Oryzias latipes: one gene and its partners. The protein of the gene in region 1 purifies or fractionates together with the protein of each later gene. This does not show direct contact. Links are inferred from orthologs where the notes say so. Each region holds a gene or a part of one and is shown on either strand. Other genes may lie near its edges. The genes, in order: stk38l, cdc37 and mob2.

Region 1 (3,611 bases):
AAGCCACAGCTACATCCGTTTTTCCAGAACGGGTGAGGATTTCCAGTTCTTTGGTAACTCTTTATGGCGCTGTGCAGAGTCACACCTCGAAGCAGGTTAGATCTGTGACAGAGCGGAAGTTCCCGTCCACGTTTGACAAAAACCTAGCACACGCTTAAAGATGCAAAAACAACCCCCGCTTTGCTTGATTAGGATGTTTTCCTCTCTTTCTTATAGTTTTTTCCTTGTTTTTACAACTGTCCTGTTTCAAACTCCTGATCTTGCTGTTTTATTTAAGATTTTAAACTTAAGAACTTTAAGCCCCTCCCCCTTTTCAAAGCCTCATGTTAGTCTAGCCTATGTCTTTAATAATCCCTGCTAAATTCAAGCTAAACATCTGGTTGAAGATTTCTCAGCTACATAAAAAGGCACTTTGCAACGTTCTATCCATTGGGTCCTTAACTAGTGAAAATTCAGGCAAATATCAGTCAGTGCAGCGGCAACCGAAGAGAAATTATGAAATGCACGTTAGTTTGAGAACAAACACCATTTTTTGTACTTAACACTTGACAACAGTTTGAGTTTATCCTACTTATTTTTGAAATGTATCACCACATTTCGAGGAGGGTTCCAGCATGACTTGAGAGTTTTCTTGTTTGTTTTGCCTCATTATCTCATTGAAAGGCGCAGAAATGACGCACAAAAAGTCATAACAACACAGTGGAGGAACTGCACAGGAAAGGCAGCAGCAAACTTTCAGCAGTCAGAATTTATCTAAAAAATACTGCATTAAGTGAGTGGAGGGGGTAAGAAATGCAGATTTACACATTAGCAATGAAACAGGGTGGCTAATGTTAGCACCAGTCAATGCTAGCACAAACTGACAGATGTTATTACCAATTGGCTGATGCTAGCAACAATCGACAGATGCTAGCACCTATTGGCTAAAGCTAACACCAAGTAATGCTAGCACAAATTGCCTAATGATCGCACCAATCGACAGATGTTAGCACAAAAAACTGATGCTAGCATCAATTGGTTAATGCTTGCTTGCATCAATCGATCCTAGCACTAACTGATTGATGTTATTACCAATTGGCTGCTGCTACCACCAATTGACAGATGCTAGCACCTTTTGCCTAAAGCTAGAAACAATCAATGCTAGCACAAATCATAATGATCGCACCTATTGGCAGATGGTACGACAAATAAACTGATGGTAGCATCAATTGGCTAATGCTAGCATCAATCAATCCTAGCACAAACTGACAGATGTTATTACCAATTGAAAGATGCTAGCACCTTTGGCTAAAGCTAGCACAAATTGATTAATGATCACACTAATCAACTAATGCTAGCATCAATTGCCTAATGCTTGCATCAATCAATAGCAATAATCAAATGATGCTAGCACCAATCAATGTTAGCACCTGTTGACTGATACAAGCACCAAGTGGCTGATGCTAGCATCAAATCTGCAATGTTTTCTTTGTATATTCTGAAACTGCTATGGCTACAAAATGTTTCCCAAATTTATGAAATTTCTCAAAACAATTCTGGGATTCTACATTTCTTTAGGAGGTTTCTAGCTCTCTGCCTTGTATGGCTCAAATTTGTAACATGTTTGAAAAAAATCTAATGTTTTTTTTTTTTAAATACCTGTTGAGTCCTCATGTATGTATCAAACGTCTTTATGCTTACTCAATTTAATTTTGTAAATCTGAAATTGTAAAAAGTTTGAGCTTACATGATGGACTGGAGACCCAGTGAACTGAACTGAGTCTTACATTATTTTGTTAACGCTTTTGTCCCACTTGTGACCAGAGGGACATTAGCTTAAGTGGTGAAGCTGATCTGTAATTTACTTTGACAGTCCGCTCATGCAAAAACAATTGTTGGAACTCTTAGTAAAAAATGTTCTTTAAATAATGCATTTGCTTGCAGTTTTCAATATCTGAATTATTTTATTGCAGCCTAATGTGATGCTAACTTTAGTCTTTGCAAATAACCCTAAGCCAAGAGACAACTTTGTTTTTGGTAATCCTTGATGCAGATTGTACCATTACCATTATGGAAATAAATAAGTAAATCAATCCTTTCGCTGTTGCTATTTTACTCTTTCTTTTTTTCTTATTTTTTACTCTTTTTTACTTTCTTTGGAGCAGCTGCGGTTAGTCTAGTCTTGTCAGGAACAACTGGTGCAAATAGATGAAAATTACATTACTGTATGAGATTTTGGGTCAAATTAATTTAGAGAATCCTGTAAAATATTTTCGTCAGCCATTTTTCATGGATGTCATTGATAAGATTAAGCGTCTCATCCTCTTTAACACTTTTTAAAAATAAGAATCCTCCGGAGCAGTTGATCTTGTTTGGTTAAAGAAAAACCCCAGTAAATCATGCTGGAACAATCCTTACAGTAAAGAGCGTCTGCTTTGTTGTTTCCAATAGTTCATCCAGAGTTTGACTACAGTAAACTGAGCTTCAGTTTGCATTAGAGGTTCTTTAGCCAGCAGTGTAGTCACTATTGTTGTCAGGCCAACAAGGCGGTGGTCGGCATTGAACCCTCATCTCCATTAGAACGAGGTCAAATTAGAAACTAAAACCAAAATAAACAAAGACGTTTTGCCACTGAACATGCAGATGTCCTGATTTGGAGTCACAGTTAGTGACCTGGCTTGAGCGCTATGGCTAAATACGGCACAAATGATACAAATAACCGAGGTAATGCGGTGATGCTCCTTAGTGAGCTCCTGCAGCTCTTGTGCAGCTCTGCAGACCTAAGTAACTCTGGATGAGGGTTAAGTTTGACTGACAGGCCAGCGGCGTGGCCTTCAGCACCAGCGGGGCTCCGTGGCCCGACCCTGTGTCCGTAAAGTTTTTTCTCCGAGGTGCGGCCTCCACGCCCTCCGCTGCGTCAGGCCTTTCCCGCCTTCATGTAGGTGGGGATGGTGCCTCGCTGGGTGAGACCTTCAAAGCGCTTGTATGTGTAGTTGAGGAACACCCAGTCCTTTGACTTGAAGTCAGGTTCTGTGGAGTTGGCTGTTTGGAAACACAGAACACAAGGATTAGCTCAAAATATTAAACAGAAACTAGAACAGCAGACTTGATCCAGTGACCAAATATCACAATCGTAAAATCGTGTGTGGATTTCCGCGTCAAACGTGAGACTAGAGGACACCTTTAACTTGTATAAAAATGGTTGGGCAGCCGTCTATAGACACCAACTTGCAGTCTAAATAAAAGTGATTCAGTGATTCAGTTGGCAAAGAACCAACCAATCAGGGACTCAGCTTTGGCGAGTGATATGTTGGTGACATGATCAGGGGGTGGAGACCAAAACCAACATAAAGCAGCGGTCCCCAACCTTTTGAACGCCACGGACCGGCATGACGTCACATAAAGTTTTCACGAAACAGTCTTGAAATTGTAGGCGGATGATTGTTTTCGCTACGCTACGATGGAGGAACAGAGTCGTCACAAGACGAACCCTGAGCTTTTATTTTGACACCCATGACATTGTACATCGCACAGGTGTCATCATCCTCTCCTTTTCACACTCATGGTGCAAAAAAGTAGTACTGTCTATTAAAAGTAGCTTTCTTTTTTTTAGGAAGGGGAAGGCTCCTCTT
Region 2 (4,426 bases), on another chromosome or scaffold:
ATCAAAACAATCCCTTGAAAACGGAAGTGGTTGGGTTCCCAGCAGTAGTAGGTCGATCTGCGTATCAAATATTACTGGTATGTCTAACTTTAAAACCATGCCCCCAATCTTTATCCAATAAGTAAAGTTTAAGATTCTGCCCATGTTTTATTCATATCATTGTTTTCATTCTCACATGTTTTCCTTTAGATATGCCACAGAAAGATCCGTGTCAAAAGCAAGCATGTGCCATTCAAACGTGTTTACAAGGTACACATTGACGTTGTTGTTGTGCTCTTCTAATGCAAATCTCAAACAAATTTGTGAACTTTTTGTTCTCATCTCACAGCTAACAAGTATGTGGAAAGTAAATGCGAGGATGTGATCCGAGAGATGCAGCGGTGCTGTGCAGCGCAAACTGGAAACTCCGTCTGCTGCTCAGGTTTCAAAGACTCCAAACTGACAAACTTCAAACCGAGCAAAAATAGCTGACACCACCTGCTGATGACTTGCATTCAATGGAAATAAAAAGTATATAAAATTGTCTAGTTCATCTTCTTTTCTCTGTTAGATTGAACATTTTCTAGCTATTTTATTCAAACGTGTTGTCACAGGTTATGATCGCAACACCGGCGATGAAGAAAAAAGGAAAACATTCACAAACTGATCTTGTTTTCCTTTCTTAGAACTTGAACTTTTCCTTCTTGGGAACGGACAAACTAAATTATCATCTATCAGTCTGGAGCACACATCTATATCTGAAACATAACTATATAAAAATCATATCTGGCCATTTATATCAAGAACGAAAAATAGCAGTAAGCAAATGAATATCATACTCTTAGTTTACCATATTACGTAGGTACATTTTCTAAATCTTATATGTAAAAATAATAATCTTCTAATATGTGTTCAGATCAGCATTCTAATTTATTCTTAATTCGCCTTGAAAAATGTAATCATTCGGGTCATGGTGCTTTTCTTTCTTTTTTATATTTAAATATAATTTCCCTTTTCTTTAATTTTTATTGAACAATTGCAACATACAGAACAAAGAAATGCAACAATTATGCACAGATAATGTACATTACAATTCTGAATACAGAATAAACGTGTTACATGCTTAAGAAGATTCTAATTATTTCTAACAATCACAAAAGGGAATAAAAAATTAAAATAAATAAAGAAAATAGAACTAAACATAGAAAAAAAATGATAAAATAAAAAGAGAAAATGCGAGAGTAAACTTGTGTTATTATTCCAAAAGATTTACAAATGTTAATTGTTTTTTGAGCTTTTGTGTTTTTTGAAGCTGAAATTAAGTTTAAATATTGCTGCAGTTCCAGTTTTAACACAAATAAATCAGTTTTTTATAGGAGAATTTGCTTTTATGAATATCAAATTTAGCCATAAATAACAACATGTTTATACAAAAGAAAGCATCACAGTCTTTCAGATTAAAACTATGAAAACCAAATATTTTCCGTTTTTGGTCATTGTTTCCGGTGTCTAAATTACGACGTACAATGTACGCGCCTTACGTATGACGTAAACGGAAGCTTTGGGGAGAATTTCTTCTAGAACTCTGTAGCAGCTTCCCGTTAGCTCTTGCTTGGGAGTAACAAATCAATTCGCACGACCAAATTTGGAGTACAGAAACACAGAGCACCAACACACATTTCTGAAGGGTTCGAGTGTGAATATTTCTTAGGTCGGTATTTTAGCGAGCGTGATTTAGACGCCAACTTAACCGAGTTCTAGTCGAAGCTAGCGCTGCTTCTTCTTGCTGCAGGATGTCCAGGATAGATTACAGCGTGTGGGATCACATTGAGGTATCGGATGATGAAGATGATACCCACCCAAATATTGACACTCCCAGTCTCTTCAGATGGAGACACCAGGTAAATATAAAAGCTTTTCGGAAAAGTGCTTAGCGTGATCGTTAGCTTTCACTTTCTGCTTGTAATTCTTCAGCCATGCTAATTTTCCTACTTACTTCGGATTCCTGAATTTGAACTCAAACTGGACAAGAGCTGATGAGTATTTGAAATTGTTTACACATGATGTTCACGCGTGTGATCTGTTCCTTAGGCGCGCGTGGAGCGAATGGAAGAATTCCAGAAGAAAGGCGAAGACCTAAAAAAAGGACTCGCCGAATGTCGGCGTAAACTCACGGAGTTACAGACAAAGATCCAGGACCTGAACCTTTCCGATGGTGTCAAAACAGAGCTCACCAAATACCAAGCCGATGAGAAGAAGCTGAAAAAAGAGGAGCGGGACTGGGAGAAAAAGCTGGATGAGTACTACAGGGAGGAGAAGAAGATGCCGTGGAACGTGGACACACTCAGCAAGGAAGGGTTCAGCAAGGTGACTTCTATATGCAGATAGAAACCTGTGGTTTTCTAGCAAGAGGTTGGAAAATCCAATGAAGCTCACATTAGTCCGTTGACATTTTATAAACAAAGTAGTTATTTCAAATCAATGCTAGATGGTGTCAAATCTTGATCTTTGTTCTCGCTTATAGAGCATAGTGAACATAAAACCTGAAACTTCGGAAGATACGGAAGAAGAAAAGGAGAAAAAACACAAAACATTTGTTGAAAAACACGAGAAGCAGATTAAACATTTCGGTAAGCCTGAGTAACTTCCATAAGGTCATTCTGTTGTCTTTTCCCTTCTTTAAAAACAATTTAAGTCTATTTTTATTAACTTACAGGGATGTTGCGACGATGGGACGACAGCCAAAAGTATCTCTCTGACAATCCTCATCTTGTATGTGAAGAAACCGCTAACTATCTCGTCATCATGTGCATTGATCTGGAAGTTGAGGAGGTAAACACATATACTTATATTTTTATTTTATATTCTTGTATCTTTGTTTTTTAGCATATCTTCTCCTCAAAGTGTGTGCTCCTGTTTGCAGCTGTTTAGGTTTTTCATTTCTTAGTAAAGCTTTGCTTTCCTATTTGCAGAAACACGCACTGATGGAGCAGGTGGCCCATCAGACCATTGTCATGCAGTTCATTCTTGAGTTGGCAAAAAGCCTCAAAGTGGATCCCCGCGGTTGCTTCCGTCAGTTTTTTGCAAAGATTAAAGTAAGCAAGTTTATTTAATTTTATTGTGTTTAATTGCTCTGAACTTATTCATTTTAAAGAAGATGTTTGGGCAGGAAAAGAAAGGGTGCTTTCATAAACAAGCAGTACAAAAATCAAAGGCAGTCTGTCTGTTATTCCTGGACTAAAACAGATTATTTTAAAAGTCCTTTTTTTTTTACCAGAAGTTTCTGTAAAATTTTATACTTCTGGTTTGGAATGTTCACATTTGTTCATTTGTTTTCTTACAGACCGCAGATCAGCAATACCAAGATGCTTTTAACGACGAGCTTGAGGCGTTTAAAGAACGGGTGAGAGGAAGAGCAAAGATTCGCATAGAAAAGGCCCTGAAAGAATACGAGGAAGAGGAGCGGCAGAAGCGGTTGGGGCCTGGAGGCCTGGATCCAGTTGAAGTGTATGAGTCGCTGCCTGCTGTAAGTGCATTCTAACAAGCAGGGTTTCATTTTTTGTCTCTATTGAGTTTGAAATGCTCACATAGTTTGCCTTCAACCACAGGAAATGCAGAAATGCTTTGATGAGAAGGACATCCAAATGTTACAAGAAGTCATCAGTAAAATGGATCCAACTGTAAGCTATACAGTTTTGTCTGGTTGAATCTTTTTGGATTTAGGTGCTTTTTTTTTTTTTAAGAAATCCCTGTTAACATGTGACTGTCGTGTCTTTTAGGAGGCAAAACATCATATGAAGCGTTGCATTGACTCAGGTCTGTGGGTCCCCAACTCTGGGGAAGGAAAGGAGGAAGAAGGGACCTATGAAGAGGTGAAACGGGAGCCGGAAGAAACAAAGGAGTGATCACAATGGATTTGTTGTTTGCAATTGTATTCACTTACTGTACCCCAGTCTCATTTAATGTAAAACAGCTTGCCAATAAACACCATCATTTCTTTAAACTTTTTGAGTACAAATTTGAATTATAAATGTGTAATAAGTCACATATTTGAAACAACAAAAACAAACTGTGTTTCTGCATCGCCTGAGCTGAATGTTTTTCCTTCATTTGTTATGCTTTGTTGGTATTGGTGCATAGTTGCAAGCTTAAGTCTAACATTGTCACATTTTTTTGCAACAGATATTTTATGTGACATTTGTACAACATTCACCGTTAAGTTCCAATGTTTTGATTTTTTTTTTTTCTTTCCTCCGGGTCTTTTACATTATTCAGGACAACAAAAACATTGACTTGTGCTCAAATAATCATTCAAACTGCTTGATTGATGAGCTTTATAGAACAGCTGGTAAATGAGGTTTCTAAGAAAAATAGTAAGGGTTACTGCTGTCAACTCCAGGCCAACGACAGTTGATCATGTTCGGTTCTGTTTATCCTAAATGAACCC
Region 3 (3,648 bases), on another chromosome or scaffold:
CTTGGGATGAACCCCTAACCTGGGGGAGGGGGTCCCGCAAGAACTTCTGTAAAAGGACTTCATTTGAGGTGGTGGGGGGCTTTGGACAAACGTCCAGACATCTAACTCTGACCTGATGAGCCTGAAGGAGGAAGATGACGATGAGGAGCAGCTGGAGATCTGATCAGAGAACAGTCCTGACATTCATCATGAAGTGGTTCTGACCCGGTTTAATGACTTGGGAAGTTCAAACGCTGATGGAGATCTCTGTATGTTTACTGACCCCCCACCCCACCCCCGTGTGGACATGCCTGCTTGTTTGCAGAGGCTAAAAGCTCTTCCTGCAGAAATACATCGGGGGGGTCAGGGCAGGGAGTCTCTGCCTGGAGCGGGTCGCTGATCTTCGTCTTTCTTCTCCATTTGTGATACAAGCTGCTCAGGGACTAAAAACAGTTTTGTAGAAATCGAACCCGCGAGTTGAAGGTGGGACAGTGTTCTGGCCCCTCTTCTGTTCCTCAGAATCAGCGCCTGGGTCAGTGGGGGAAGGAGGAGGGGGAGCTCTGGACGTGAAGGCGGGGTGTGATGTGGCGTCCAGGTGTCAAAGGCGTCCGTGGACGGCCGAGCGTCTGCTAGAAGTTGGAAAGCTGGCGTGATGCCCCCCCCCCACCCCGTGCTGTTTTCTGTTGGGGGTGGGGTCCTGTGAAAGTTTCTGTTTTCCCAGAAACATTATTGGGGTCATCAGACTGACAGGTGACTTCCTGTTGGCGCTTCTTGAAAATCCGGTTGGTTTTGTTTCACAGCCGCATGACGTGGAGCTGCGAGGGAGATTCCTCCCCCCTCCTTTCACGCCGTCCTCCCCCGACATACTACAGCTTCTGTTTCCTCTTCTCCACTTTAACCCCCCTCCTCCTCCTCTCTGTGTCGCAGGAAGTCCAAGCCGAAGCCCAACGGAAAGAAGGCGCCGGTGGAGGAGAAGAAGCAGTACCTGGAGCCGGAGTTCACCAAAACCCGGGTGGTGGACTTTGACCTGAAGGAGCTGGTGGTGCTGCCCCGGGAGATAGACCTGAACGAATGGCTGGCCAGCAACAGTGAGTGACAAGCGTCTGAACAAGATTGTCCCGCCCAGATCCGGCTCTCTCAGGTGGGCCGGTTCTGGGCGGGAAAAGTTATAAAGCACCTTTCACGTGCATTCAACCATAAAATCCCTTTGAGGCGCTATCCAACATGGCAGAAGCTTTGAGAACAGCAACTTCCTGGTTCTTCTGGTTGGTTCATTAAGGAAAAAGGTTTTCAGCACCGTTTGGTTTCCACGACAACAGAACTTTCAGTATGAAGAACCGAAGCTCAGACGAGCTTTAACCAATAAGGTTCTATAAGAAAAGGAAGTTCTGTTTATTTATGAGTTTAGCATTAAACCACCAAAGACACCAACCAGGATGGGTAGTTTGGATTCTTACCGGTTCTGAAACGGTTCTAACGGAGCTCAAACCGGAGCTTTAAAACAAACTAAACTAAAAACACAGCAATTGAGTCAGCTCTGCCACGAGGCGGTTCAGGCGGTGATGTTTTGGCGCCGAGCGGCTGAAACAGGAAGGCGTTCTGCGCTGCCCACTAGTGGTCGGAGGTTGAACTACACGTCTGCTTCTAAATTCACTCAGGGTTGTTTGGGCTTTCTAGTGTTGACAAATAAAATAGTCCGATACACCCCCCCCCCCCCCCCACCCCGACTCACATGCCTCCTCTGAGCCCCTCTGGGTTCAGCTCCTCTCTTCTGTCATGTGTTTGGGGGCTGATGTGTCACAAACGTTCTGGACGTGTCTGAAGTCAGGTTCCGCAATAACAAATTCCAGCAAGGTTCTGGAAGGTGGGAACCCTTCCAGATTCGGTCTGTAGACCAGAATGTTCGGTTCTGATCCGATTCCTCCTAACGTGCTGCCCTCTCCTCCACAGCGACCACCTTCTTCAACCTCATCAACCTGCAGTACAGCACCATATCCGAGTTCTGCACCGGGGACACCTGCCAGGCCATGAGCGCCGCCTGCAGCACGTAAGCCCCCCTTCCTGTCCTTTAACCCCCGGATCCTCCCGAAGGGTCACGTGAGGTCGGCTAGTTCTGGTCCGTCTGGGAACGGGCCGAAGGGTTAGACCCACTGCTGCTAAATGAAAACAGCAGCTATGCTGTGGCTGTGGTGCAGCGTCCCAGACTGTGTGTGATTCCTGCTGTGCTTTGATCGTTTTCATCAATCAAACCTTGCACTATTGCTGCTGTTTGAAGCCCCGCCCCTTTGCAGTTTTCCCAGGGAGGCGGTTGATCTACCTGCTGTTGTGTGGGGGGGTGTGGTTCCGCCTGTGTTGTTTTTTGGCGGGATGCCTTTCATCCTTCCCGCTGGGGAAGCCGGTTCCACTGGAAGAGCCGCTCTGACCCAGCCGGCCAGGAGGTCGGCCCGGGGGGGGTTTCCACTCCACCCAGAAGCAGGCTTGGCGCCGGCGGGAGGGGCAGCAGCCGGTTCGGTCGTAGGCGGAGCCAGAGATTGGATCCAGAGGAGAAACGGTTCCTCCTCTCTGGACTTCAGTGTCTGTAATTCTGACTGTTGGGCTCCAGTCCCCCCCCCCCCTTTCCTGTGGGTCCCCCACCCTTCCCTGTGGGTGCCCCCCCCTCTGTGGTGAACTCTGGCAGAGCCACGGTTGCAGCAGCGTCATTCTGGGCCTGCAGGCGCCGCCAGCTTCTAAAAATAGAGCAAATGTTTCCATGAGCTCCGGGGGGGGGGGGGGGGCTCTTAACCCGCACTTAAAGCGGTCTATGGTTGGGGGGGGGGCTGGATCCATCCCGGCTTATCCCCCCCTTTGTGGCGTTCACAGCCAAAACCGAACGGCTCTTTCATGAGGAGCTCAGAACTTCTGGAAGGTTCTGGTTTTAAACCCACAGTGCAGCAGGTTTCTGGATTGGGGGGGGGGGGGGGGGGGGGGGGGGGGTATCTCATGATCTCTGAACCAGGAAGGTTCTGGTTCTGATGTCGCCTCTGAAGCAGCAGGTGACGTTTGACAGAGAGGAGGTCATGTGACCTGCTCATCTGACGCACGCTCCAGGAAACGTGGCCCCCACAGCCGATCCTCCATTCCAGACTGTACCCTGGAGTAGCCCCGCCCCCTTTCCCCATGCTGTTGTGAAACGCTGCGGCGGCGGCATTGACGCCATCTTTCTCTTCCAGAACCTACTACTGGTATGACGAGAAGGGGAGGAAGACGAAGTGCACGGCGCCGCAGTACGTCGACTTCGTCATGAGTCTCTGTCAGAAGCTGGTGACGGACGAGGAGATCTTCCCCACTAAATACGGTGAGATCAGCGCCCCCTGCTGGTGCAGAGGCGGAGCTTCAGTGATGCTGCAGAGTCCGACAGGAAGAGTAAACGTAGAGCTGTCATGCCAGATTTACAATCTAACCTAAGAATTTCTGCCAAAAGCCTCATTTTGAGGGTTTTTTAATCTGAATTCATGACATCAAAATATAACTTATGAAGTTTTCCTAAAACAACCTTTACTTTGTCACCAACAAGGGAATTTTTTTAATCTCCAACAAAAATGAGAACCAATCATCCAGTCCAGAGTCTCTGACTTAACGCATAAAACATATTCTCCACAGAGAAACACAGTTTACCGTCCTCCACGTCTG

Evidence for each region.
Region 2: the proteins of stk38l (region 1) and cdc37 purify together in Homo sapiens (affinity purification with mass spectrometry; 3 studies listed by BioGRID and IntAct, with this or other methods). This does not show direct contact. The link is inferred for Oryzias latipes from reciprocal best matches to the Homo sapiens genes STK38L and CDC37.
Region 3: the proteins of stk38l (region 1) and mob2 purify together in Homo sapiens (affinity purification with mass spectrometry; 9 studies listed by BioGRID and IntAct, counting the BioPlex papers as one, with this or other methods). This does not show direct contact. The link is inferred for Oryzias latipes from reciprocal best matches to the Homo sapiens genes STK38L and MOB2.

What each region holds. Positions count from the first base shown.
Region 1 is NC_019881.2:3,870,257-3,873,867, forward strand, and holds part of stk38l (serine/threonine-protein kinase 38-like), read right to left. Parts: intron 3,022-3,611; coding exon 2,897-3,021; 3' UTR 1-2,896. UniProt on the Homo sapiens protein: Involved in the regulation of structural processes in differentiating and mature neuronal cells.
Region 2 is NC_019866.2:8,382,971-8,387,396, reverse strand, and holds the start of cdc37 (hsp90 co-chaperone Cdc37), read left to right. Parts: upstream 1-1,531; 5' UTR 1,532-1,690; intron 1,691-1,771; 5' UTR 1,772-1,772; coding exon 1,773-1,880; intron 1,881-2,070; coding exon 2,071-2,346; intron 2,347-2,503; coding exon 2,504-2,609; intron 2,610-2,695; coding exon 2,696-2,811; intron 2,812-2,951; coding exon 2,952-3,074; intron 3,075-3,322; coding exon 3,323-3,505; intron 3,506-3,587; coding exon 3,588-3,659; intron 3,660-3,758; coding exon 3,759-3,884; 3' UTR 3,885-4,426. Other genes in the region: cmc4 (cx9C motif-containing protein 4), read left to right, coding at 192-249, 329-471. UniProt on the Homo sapiens protein: Co-chaperone that binds to numerous kinases and promotes their interaction with the Hsp90 complex, resulting in stabilization and promotion of their activity. Inhibits HSP90AA1 ATPase activity.
Region 3 is NC_019864.2:31,188,588-31,192,235, reverse strand, and holds part of mob2 (MOB kinase activator 2), read left to right. Parts: intron 1-906; coding exon 907-1,067; intron 1,068-1,929; coding exon 1,930-2,026; intron 2,027-3,188; coding exon 3,189-3,313; intron 3,314-3,648. UniProt on the Homo sapiens protein: Stimulates the autophosphorylation and kinase activity of STK38 and STK38L.